Macaca fascicularis: one gene and its partners. The protein of the gene in region 1 purifies or fractionates together with the protein of each later gene. This does not show direct contact. Links are inferred from orthologs where the notes say so. Each region holds a gene or a part of one and is shown in the gene's direction. Other genes may lie near its edges. The genes, in order: NUMA1, EZH2 and EPB41L3.

Evidence for each region.
Region 2: the proteins of NUMA1 (region 1) and EZH2 purify together in Homo sapiens (affinity purification with mass spectrometry; 3 studies listed by BioGRID and IntAct, with this or other methods). This does not show direct contact. The link is inferred for Macaca fascicularis from reciprocal best matches to the Homo sapiens genes NUMA1 and EZH2.
Region 3: the proteins of NUMA1 (region 1) and EPB41L3 purify together in Homo sapiens (affinity purification with mass spectrometry; 3 studies listed by BioGRID and IntAct, with this or other methods). This does not show direct contact. The link is inferred for Macaca fascicularis from reciprocal best matches to the Homo sapiens genes NUMA1 and EPB41L3.

Annotation. Positions count from the first base shown.
Region 1 is NC_088388.1:70,766,749-70,770,392, reverse strand, and holds part of NUMA1 (nuclear mitotic apparatus protein 1), read left to right. Parts: intron 1-244; coding exon 245-313; intron 314-1,696; coding exon 1,697-1,816; intron 1,817-1,898; coding exon 1,899-2,117; intron 2,118-2,238; coding exon 2,239-2,396; intron 2,397-3,644. UniProt on the Homo sapiens protein: Microtubule (MT)-binding protein that plays a role in the formation and maintenance of the spindle poles and the alignement and the segregation of chromosomes during mitotic cell division.
Region 2 is NC_088377.1:190,537,204-190,540,947, reverse strand, and holds the start of EZH2 (histone-lysine N-methyltransferase EZH2), read left to right. Parts: upstream 1-1,256; 5' UTR 1,257-1,462; coding exon 1,463-1,533; intron 1,534-2,009; exon of another isoform or gene 2,010-2,142; intron 2,143-2,305; exon of another isoform or gene 2,306-2,441; intron 2,442-3,744. UniProt on the Homo sapiens protein: Polycomb group (PcG) protein. Catalytic subunit of the PRC2/EED-EZH2 complex, which methylates 'Lys-9' (H3K9me) and 'Lys-27' (H3K27me) of histone H3, leading to transcriptional repression of the affected target gene.
Region 3 is NC_088392.1:74,037,433-74,041,093, reverse strand, and holds the start of EPB41L3 (band 4.1-like protein 3), read left to right. Parts: upstream 1-846; 5' UTR 847-931; intron 932-1,420; exon of another isoform or gene 1,421-1,523; intron 1,524-3,661. UniProt on the Homo sapiens protein: Tumor suppressor that inhibits cell proliferation and promotes apoptosis. Modulates the activity of protein arginine N-methyltransferases, including PRMT3 and PRMT5.

The DNA of each region.
Region 1 (3,644 bases):
CAGGGTAGAGGCAAGTATGGACAGGTGGCCCTGGCAACATTTATGTGTTAGATTGCCTCACTCAGGCCCTGCCAAGCAGCCTGGGCAGCAGGCTGTTCCCTAATTGGAGGCCAGAGAAAGGGCCTGAGTTTATTCTAGGAATACTGGGGATCCTGGTCTGGGCCACCCCATGATGGGTAGACATCTGGGATGAACATCCAGGGGAAGTCCTCCTGAGTCTTCTGTCCTCCTCTTCCCTCCCCAGGTGGAAGAACTGAGGAAGAAACTGGCTGACTCTGACCAAGCCAGCAAAGTGCAGCAGCAGAAGCTGAAGGTGGGGCAGCTGGGGGAACGGGTCTGGCCTCTGGACAGGGGAGGAAAGCTGTTCTCTAAGCTCTCGGGCCGTGGGGGTGTGGGGGCAGAGGAGGGGCACCCTGTGTTCCAGGCAGCCCTCCTAGGAAGCCTGTGGCTTAGAAGCCCCTGCGTGTGTCTTCTGGGAGCTCTCAAGAGACAACCAGGGTGGTTCCCATCTCTCAACTGTCTCCACTACAGCAGCTACTAGTCATGTGTGGTTATTGAAATTTATTAAAGTAAATCCAGTTCTTCAATCACACTAGCTACATTGTGTCCCTGCTCAGTAGCTACATGTGGTTAGTGGCTGCTGCATTGGACAGCACAGATACAGAACTTTCCACCGTTGCATAAAGTTCTGTTGAACCATGTAAGTCCAGATAGTCTGGGCAGGGAAAGAACGAGTGTCACCAGTGTTGAATATTACAATGCAGTTTAATAACATTCTTAATGATTCCAACTGTGTCACCTTCTTTGGTTTAATACTTGCTTTCTGCAGTTCTAGGCTGCACAGCCTTTAGTCAGGGGCAAAGGAATTGGACATCAGTGGTATTGGGACTCACTAAAGCCCTGGTGGGTCCTAGGAGTTGGTGGGAGCTCAGAGCTTCATTTCATACCATGGTGCCACAGCATGTCTTGATTGCAATAAACAAATGTTTATTCTGCTCCTTGTGGGGCCTGTCCTGTGTTAGGAGAGGCAAAGGTGGGATGTTTCTGTACAGTATCTACCGCAGAGTACTTGCTGGCCTTGCAGATGGACAGAGAATCAGGCCCTGTTCTTAAGGAGTTATAGTCTGGACAGGAGGCAGTGTGGGCATCATAAATAAGCCCCCACGGGCTTTTGGAGTTTAGTGGACCAAGTCTTACTCTGCCATTTAGTCATTGTTGCTATGGTCAATTTGCTTAAATCTTTGAACTCAGTTTCCTCCTCTGAAAAGGGGATGAAGTGACTTCTCAGAGTGGCTTTGAGGAGAAACAAGTTCCCCTGTCCTCAGAGAGCTCACATGCCAAGTGCCTCACTCCAGGCTCCGCACCTGGGTGTTCCTCGAGGATCGGTTCCCTTCCTCCTAGGGGAGATTGTGTGTGCATGCAAAGAGGGTGAGACAGTTTGTGTCCTATCTCAAAGAAGGCAAAGATAGGGCAGGAGCTGGTCAGGGAAAGGCCACTATGGATGTGGACTGAAGGGCATGTGGACTTCAGGTTCAGTAGGCTGTAGTCGGGTGGAGTGTATCTGGGGTGGTGTGGTTTTCTTCCTCTTCCTAAGTGCAGGAGTCTGAAGCACCTCTTGAGCCCCAGTGGCTGATGCAGATGAGTGGACTTGGGTAGAGGGGCCAGACCAGCTTTCCTGAGTGGACTTTCTTCTCAGGCTGTCCAGGCTCAGGGCGGTGAGAGCCAGCAGGAGGCCCAGCGCCTCCAGGCCCGGCTGAATGAACTGCAAGCCCAGTTGAGCCAGAAGGAGCAGGCAGCTGAGCACTATAAGCTGCAGGTAAGGAGCCCAGCCCCAGCCCATGCTACCTTCTTCCTGCCCTCCAGCCTCTGCCCCACCCACCCATCCTCTCTGCCCACAGATGGAGAAAGCCAAAACTCATTATGATGCCAAGAAGCAGCAGAACCAAGAGCTGCAGGAGCAGCTGCAGAGCCTGGAGCACCTGCAGAAGGAAAACAAAGAGCTGCGAGCTGAAGCCGAACGGCTGGGCCATGAGCTACAGCAGGCTGGGCTGAAGACCAAGGAGGCTGAACAGACATGCCGCCACCTTACTGCCCAGGTGCGCAGCCTGGAGGCACAGGTAAGAATTTGGCTGGCAGACTCACCTCACCCCTATCCCACTGGACCCCTGTGCCCTCTCCTCCTAGGCCACTGATGCCTTAGGTTTTTCTTCACTCTCCCCCTGGCCCTCTCCTTCTCAGGTTGCCCACGCAGACCAGCAGCTTCGAGACCTGGGCAAATTCCAGGTGGCAACTGATGCTTTAAAGAGCCGTGAGCCCCAGGCTAAGCCCCAGCTGGACTTGAGTATTGACAGCCTGGATCTGAGCTGCGAGGAGGGGACCCCACTCAGTATCACTAGGTCAGGAGGCACTCTTCCTCCCTATGTCTGTTGTTTATGGAGTACCCGCTGTTTATCAGGCTGTATCCTGGTGAGATAAATAAGATGTGATCCAAATTTATTCTTAGAGAAGAATAAAGAAAAACAGGTATTATACCAGATGTCTGTTTAGGGCACAGTTGGAATAAAAAGCAAGCGGTCAAGAAAGGCTTCATGGAAGCTATCGCTCCTGCTGAGTCTTGAAAGCATCCATAGGTGTGTGTGCCAGGTTGACAGAGAAGAGCAGTGTGAACAGAGGCTGTGAAAGAGCCTGACTAGGCTGAGATGCAAGGCCAGGAAGGCCCAAGATCCTAGAGGGCCATCTGGACTCCCCGTTGGAGACCGGCTATTAAGACTTGATCCTAAAGGCATTGAGGAAACCTTGGTGGCTATAATTGAAAGGTTTAAGGGAAAAAAAAAAAAGGAACCTTGGAAGAATTTGAAACTGAAGAGTACATGGTTAATTTCCATCTTAAAAAGATGATTCTAATAGCCAATATAGAAGTTAAGACTGGAAATACATATTGTTTTTATTAAACACTTACATTGTACTTATTTTGTGCTAGACATAAAGCACTCATAACAATTATACCTGATTTATCCCCCAACAACCCTCTGAGGTAGGTTTATTCTGTCTCCTTTAACAGATGAATCTGGGGCATAGAGGGGTAGTCATTTGCCCAAGGTCCCCCAGTGGTAGAGCTGGGGTTTGACCCTGTGCAGCCTGGCCTGAGTCCTTGCTTGTCACCACTCATCTGCCTCTGTGAGTGCCATGATGAGTCTAGGTGAGAGGAGATGAGACAAACCAGGAAAAGGACATAAGCATGGAGAGGGTATGGTTAGGAGAGCTGTTGAGGAAGCTTGGTGATTGGGCTTCCCAAGCAGGACAACATAGAATTATGCCCATGTTCATGGTTTGGGGGCCTGAGTGGCAGGTGCTCGTATTCACTGAAATGGGAGATGAAGGAGGAAGAACAGAGAAGTGGGCTTAGATTGGGACGTGTTTGCTGTGGAGCAGCCGTGGGCATCTGGTGAGGATGGGACATCTGGGTCTGGGCATTGCCACTATGAGGAGGTATTAGGAGAAGCCAGGGGAGTGGACTGAAGGGAAGGCCCAGGTCAAGGGCTTTCCTTGGTACCTCTGAAAATTCAGAGACATGGGTTGCTTGACCTCATCTGCTTATAGTATGGAAAATGGTCACTTTGGAAAAGGGCTGGACAAAATGCCTT
Region 2 (3,744 bases), on another chromosome or scaffold:
ATTGATCTTCCTCTTAAAAAATGTCGTTTTACTATTTAATATTATAGGACTGATAAGTTCAGTAATTTGATAAGCAACTTAGGGATAAGTAGTTAATTTCTGAGGTTTAAGTTGCTGGTTTTAAAAAATTGCAAACTGCTGGCCTAGATAGATGCATTTTATCTTGGAAAATGAATGTATTGGTGACTGTAAGTAATGACAGCTATAATTCGTTACGTTATTTTACAGTCACATCTCAGTTGCATAACTTACTTTTTGCAGTCTTATCATTGATTCACAAGATAATTTTGCTTTTATCTGAGCACATGATTGCTTGTTTCTCCTTATCTTTTAGCTTCCCTTCATATATACTTTCCAACATTGGCGTGGTTCAGAATATATGTGAGGAATGGAATGGTGATTTAGGAAAGGCGGGAAAATTATGGGCTAAATCACCTGATGAAAAATTATGGCCCGGCGCGGTGGCTCACGCCTGTAATCCCAGCACTTTGGGAGGCTGAGACGCGTGGATCACAAGGTCAGGAAATCGAGACCACCCTGGCTAACATGGTGAAACCCCGTCTCTACTAAAAACACAAAAAATTAGCCGGGCGTGGTGGCGGGCACCTGTGGTCCCAGCTACCCTGGGAGGCTGAGGCAGAATGGTGTGAACCCGGGAGGCGGAACTTGCAGTGAGCCGAGATGGCGCTGCTGCACTCCAGCCTGGGCGACAGTGTGAGACCATCTCAAAAAAAAAAAAAAAAAAAAGAAAAATAAAAATTAAAATTCTAGCTAGTTATTAAAATCATTAAAAAGATTTCTTCAGATTTTTACCCCAACATCATAGGTGGCCTTTTTTCAGTGTCCAGTCTGAACTATCAATATGGAATCTCAGTTTACAGGACAATGGTATTTTACCCCATAGGTACATCCTAGTAAAAATAAATTCGGGATACTCTTAACTGCATTGTCACATGAAGCAATAGGAGAGATTGTATCCTAAGCAGAAGCCCCCTAATTCCTGAGTTGAGGCAGGTTGACCCCCCCATAACTAAGATCATTGTTTAATCACTAAAAAATATTGCAAATATCCTTACACTTTGCAGAGGCGGCAAGTGAACAGCGCTCATCTTAATAAACGATTTTTAACACTGACACTTGCTTGGCACTACAAACACTGGAAGGGTCTGAAATGGCAGTAATGTCACCCTTTCACAGGTTTCTAGGGCGATAAGCACTGCGAGCTCAGCCAAAGTCCAGCGGTGGAGGCGGGGGGCGGGGGGCGGGGCGGGAAGTGGCCGAGGCAGCAGCAGGCAACATCAACGGGACCCGGGCCGGGCGCTGTGGCTCACGCCTGTAATCCCAGCACTTCGGGAGGCCGAGGCGGGCGGATCACCTGCAGTCGGGAGTTCGAGACCAGCCTGACCAACACGGAGAAACCCCGTCTCTACTAAAAATACAAAATTGCCGGGCGTAGTGGCGCATGCTTGTAATCCCCGCTACCCGGGAGGCTGAGGCAGGAGAATCTCTTGAACACGGAAGGCGGAGGTGGCGGTGAGTTGAGATCGCGCCATTGCACTCCAGCCTGGGCAACAAGAGCGAAACTCCGTCTCAGAGGGAAAAAAAAAAAAAGAAGTAACGGGGCCGGCGGCAGCGCGCGGGCCGGGCGAGCGTCTCCCCGCAAAGGCCGCGCCGCAGCAGAGCCGACCTCCGGGGCCCGTGCCCTCCCCTCCCTGGGCACCGCCAGGAGAGGCCAGCTCGGGCCTCGGCACCGCGCGCGGGGAAACGAGCGCGGCGGTTAAAACCGTTACCACCCCCGAGTTTTGAACTGGTTCAAACTTGGCTTCCAGTCCCCGCCTCGCCCCTCCCCTCCCCTCCCCTCCCCCGCCCGGGAACTCCGCGGCGCCGGTTCCCGCCAAGAGCAGCCGGCGCGTCGTCCCGCCCTTCGGCCCGTTCCCGCCACCCATCCTCCCCGCCTCCCGTTCGCGGTGGGCTCCGGGCCCCCGCGATGTCTCCCGGTCCCCGCCTGCCTGCACACCGCCTTCCTGAGAGGCGCCGTGTGTTCAGCGAAAGAACAAAGAGACGGCGGCAGCGCTTCCACAAGGCCAGTCGCGTCGCTTCAAGCGAGCCCCGCCACCGCCCGCGCGCGCACGCGCCACCACCGCCCGCCCGCGAGCCCTGAGCGCACTCTGCGTGGGGCTGGCTCGGCGCCTCCGAGCCCGGCGGGCCCTGTGATTGGACGGGCGCCCGCCTAGCGTCCCGCCAATCGGGGCGGTGCTTGATTGGGTTGGGGGGGCCAAATAAAAGCGATGGCGATTGGACTGCCGCGTTTGGCGCTCGGTCCGGTCGCGTCCGACACCCGGTGGGACACAGAAGGCAGTGGAGCCCCGGCGGCGGCGGCGGCGGCGGCGGCGCGCGGGGGCGACGCGCGGGAACAGCGCGAGCCGGCGCGCGGGACGAAGGTAACGCGCCGCTGCGGGCGGCCCGGCCGGTGGGGCTCCAGGAGTGCGAAGCGGGCGGCGGCGGCGGCGGCAGGACCTCCCCGCCGCTGCTGTGCCGGTCCCGGGTATCGCCTAAACGGGGCTCACCCGGGCGCCGCGTTTGTAGGCGTGCGGGGGGTGGAGGGTGAGGGGAGACCCCCCTCCCCGGAAGGAGCTGTGAGCTTAGGGCTGGCCAGCGGGAGCCTACGAGTGGGGCAGCGCGGACCCCCGGAGCTGCGGGGCGGGGGGCGTGTGGGGGGCAGCTTTCCCGGTGCCTGCCCTGGCCGGGGCGCCGGGGCCGGGGTCGGGGCGTTCCGGTGCCCGGTCCAGGGTGGCAGCTCGAGCCTCAAGTCTCCTTTGTGTGGCGCGGCCGCGGCGGGAGCGCCCGGGTGGGACGGGACAGACACAAGTTGGTGGGACCCAGCCGCCGAGTCTGCACTCAGACAAAGGACGGACTGTGTCTCCGGAGGTCTCGGCGCGAGGGGAAGGGGCATGACACCCGGGCCCGCCGGCGGGCGGGAGAGGGGCGTGGGGAGGCGCGGGCCGCTGCCGGGGTGGGCAGGGCTCGGCCCCAGCCCCGCGCACGCCCCCATCCCGGGCGCGCTGACCCCGGGCTGGGGCCGCGGCGACCGCGGGACGACGTTCGCGGCGTGGAACTCGGAGTAGCTTCGCCTCTGACGTTTCCCCAGGACGCACCCCGAAATCCCCCTGAGCTCCGGCGGTCGCGGGCTGCCTCGCCGCCTGGTCTGGCTTTATGCTAAGTTTGAGGGAAGAGTCGAGCTGTTCTGCTCTCTATTGATTGTGTTTTTGGAGGGCTTCCTGTTGAATTCCCACTTCATTGTGTACATCCCCTTCCACTGCCCCCAAAAATCTGTGCCACAGGGTTACTTTTTGAAAGCGGGAGGAATCGAGAAGCACGATCTTTTGGAAAACTTGGTGAACGCCTAGTGAGTTCCCACTTTCTAAAGAATCGTAATCCTTAAACATTACAAGCTGTTTTGGCCAACTTGTGTGATACATCTGAGAATGGCGACAGGTGCTAACGAAATCAACTGTCATTCAGCCAGAGATTATTTCCCAAATCCCGACGGGTTGAATGAGGATGAGGTGGTAGAAGTAGGTGATCAAAATAGAATGGCTATGACAAATGTGTGTTTAGATTCTATGGTTAGCAGTTTCTTAGTAATTGGTCTCGTTTTCTGTGAACAATAGCTTTGGTGATTCAGAAAAGACTGGATGCAGAAATGTTTGTTGCCTAAGAAATTTAACGTGTGCTGTCCACAGT
Region 3 (3,661 bases), on another chromosome or scaffold:
GTAATAATCACATCATGGAAAACAGGAAATCCATCCTTCATTTATCCTTTGTGTTACAATTCAATTATACTTTATTTTAAAATGTGCAAATTATTTTGACTATAGTCACCCTGTTGTGCTATTAAATACTATGTCTTATTCACTCTATTCTTTTTGTGCCCATAAAAACATTTCTTAAATGTCTTAGTTACTCGGTCAGATCTTAAGATATTGTGAGACGACCAGGAGTTACTTATTTCACTTACAAATCAGGGAGCCCCCTCCGCTCCATTTCAGTGGAAAGCTTTATAGGTACTGGAGAGGACGGAGTAGCTGAGTTGCTGAAAGATGGGCGACTTCTCTTATCAACCATTAATTCAGATCTTCTCTATTAACATGACTTCAAAACACCACCAACTTGATTTTTATTTTCTTTCCAAAAAGAAAAAAAAAAAATACTGCAGTCCCTAGCCAATAAATAACTCACCTGAAGGTCAGGAACACCCCCTCCCTCCTTTCTCACAGGGGATGTCTGGGAGGGGAGAGGGGGCTGGAGAGGCCAGGCCATCATCTAAGTGGAAATCAAGGGCTAAAGCTATTGGCATTGGCAGCTGTCTCCAGGCGTCGTCCGCGGAGCCTGACCCTGCGCCAGGAAGGAGGAGGTTGTGCCCATGTAACTGTCCTGAAGTACTGCGCTGGCCCCCTCCCCCGCGGCTGGGAGGGCAGGCAGGACGAGGTTGGCTTTCCTTGCGCGGTCTCTGGGCGTGGGCCCCCGCCGCAGCTCCGCGGAGCCTCGGTGTCTCCTGCAACAGGGGGCGGGGGGAGCCGCGGCGAGCAGCCCTGGGCTGCGGCTTCCTCCCCACGCCCGAGTCTCCTGCGCACCGCCGCCGAGGACGCGCGCCCGAGCCTGGTCCCCACGCCGCGGCGCGCCTGGGCTATCCGCTGATCCCAGGTAACTTTTCCGCCTCCCGGAGTGGGGGACTGCGAGGGGGTCTCGGCTTTACGAGGTGCGGAGGAAGAGCCCGAGGCCTGGGGCGAGGCGCACGGGCTGTGGGGCTGACGCGTGGCTCCGGCGCCGCGCGGTCTCCCGAATCCCGAGCCCCGCGCCTGGGGTCCCCAACCGCCCTCCCGCTCGCCGGGACCCTCGGCGGGCCGAGCCTGTGCGCCGCGCCCCCCGCCCGCTCCACCCGCCGCGCTGCAGCAGTGGCTGGGCCGGCGCGCAGAGCCTGAGTCCCGGCCTCCGGCCTGGGGGCCTCCCTGGGATCCCTGGCCGATGGGGCAACTCGGTCCCCGCGTCCCTTCTCCGCCAATTTTCGCAAATCCCCCGCCCGGGGCGCCATGTTTTAAGTTGCCCCTCGGACTGGGGGCGAGCGCGGGCCGGCCCCTCCCCCGGGGAGGTGCGAGGGACAGGGGGCGACACTGCGGCGCCGCCCGGGCGGGTGGCGGCTGGCGGCTGGCGGGCCGCGGGAGGGGCCGTGCGCTCAGTGCGCGGCGGCTGCGGGCTCGTCCCGGGTGCAGGCGCGGGCGGGCGCGGCGCGGGGCCGGTAAGGTGCGCTCCGCACAAAGCATCCCCGCTGGGCAGCGGGGCCGGCCGCTTTTATATAACTTGCCTCGTTCCCCGAACTGGGGCAGCGGCCCCCGGCCGGTGGGGGAGGAGGAGGGAGCGTCCAAGCGGGGTTGCCCTGGGCCTGGGCACCTGCAGGGGCCCCTCGCCTCTGGCACCCGGGGGCGGGCCGGGGGCGCCTGGGTCGGCCTGTCGTGGCCCGGGGGCTTGGGGCGGCGCGACTCACCTGGCGCCCTCCGGGCTGCGATTCGCCTTGGGAGGTGTCTGCGAAGGCGGCTCTGCAGCGGTGGGGGTGGGGAGGCTGGGGCTTCGGACCGCTGGAGCTGGGGTGTCAGCCAGTTCCTGGCGGGTGTTTCCTGGTTGCTGCCGCAGGGGCTTGCTTTTTCGGGTTTCGCCTCTAATCTCGCCCGACTTCTTCCCCTTCTCCCCCACCCCCCCCACGCCCGCGAAGTTCATGGCTTCTGCAATGCGGTGGGTGTGGTTACCTAGTAAATTGTAACTGTGGTCCCTTGCAATGAGAGTATTCTTCTCAATTTTCTTTCTATATTACGGATCTGAAGTTTCCTAGGGTTTTTCCTTTAGTTGCAGCCCAGGGTTAAAGTTGGTAGAGATTATTGCGGAACAGAACAAATAGAATGATAAAGGAAACATGTGGTATTAATTACTTGTGGAGGTTGGGCTGGGAGGTCCTGCGAGGGCCCGGCAGTCCTGCTAATGCAGTGCTTCCATTGCGTGTTTAAGTTGTTTCAGCTTTTTTACATTAGTCTTGCGGAATTGCTTTTGCAGATATCCTGCCTGTCCTTTTTGTTGGGGGGCGGGGGTTGCAATGGGAATTTTAAGCTCTCTGAGGTGGCCAGGTGTGCTGGAGTTTCTTTTGATAGCATTAACTTCTGTAGTACAGGAAGCGTCACACGAAGTGCTTAAAAACATTATTTTTGAAATTCACCCTGATTTTTAAAGTCTCAAGGAAACAAAAATGGTAAAATTCCACTTGATGTCTGTGAGCCATGGACGTAGTCCCAATTACAGCAAATTAAGCAGAAAAGCCCTATTAAGAAAAGAGAGCAGCACATCAAGCTCCAGTGAACTCTGGGGACTGAGAGGTGATTTCTGTCTTGGCTCAGAGAGAGTGTTTAAAAAATGCATGTTAATTTTGGTATCAAACTTTAAAAACTTTAGTTGGAGTAACAAAATTAATGTGAGAGGGAATAAATACTAAATTGGAGAAGCGTGACTTCAATTTGTTAATTTGCAAGGCATTGATAGCTGAATGCTTAATACTATCTCATTTGCATTATGGTTTTCTGGTAGTTTAGAAAAGTAAACTATTAGATGCACAACACTGCATCAAGTTTATTTAGTTAATACACTTTAGCCAAAATAAGTTTTTCAAAACAGATCATGTTTTGTGAATAATTCATCCATAACAAGAAGAGTAGCCACTTTAATTTGTAAACCCCTTTTAGGTGAAGGATTTGGGAGCTATAGATCAAATGTCAGTGTCTCAGTGAGATATTTACATTTAATTTTTAAGACATTTCTTCTGCTTGAATGTGATTTAGGTTAAAAGCAATTTTTCATCAATTCTTATACAGTGCTTGGACTTTGGCCAACTTTGTGTTGAAATAAAAAGATCAGGATATTTTTAAACTTGATCGGATGCAATTTTATTTATAATTGTTTTTTAAGAACTGGTTGGTCAGATGCATTAAGGGGCCACCTAGGTAGAAGAGATGCCACTATCCATGCACTGAGAGATGTGTTGCTGTTACTTGTGAATCTTTTCTGGACTTACATGGTATATTAGATTAAGTGTGGCAGGAACTTGCTGTAAAAAGTGTTTTCTGTAAAATACTGTAAAAGTATTTTCTTCCATGTTGTATGATGTGCATTCATCTTTTAAGTTAGTGCTTTCCCTAAAATTCACAAACTAGAATTCATGTCCTCTGCAGTAAAGTAGAACTCCAAGAGTAGACTGAGGAATAAATGTTTTCTTTCTGTGAGAATTTGACTATATATAATGAAGAGAGGGACTTTTTTTTTTTTTTTTTTGAGATGGAGTCCCACTGTGTCGCCCAGGCTGGAGTGCAATGGTGCAGTCTCGGCTCACTGCAACCT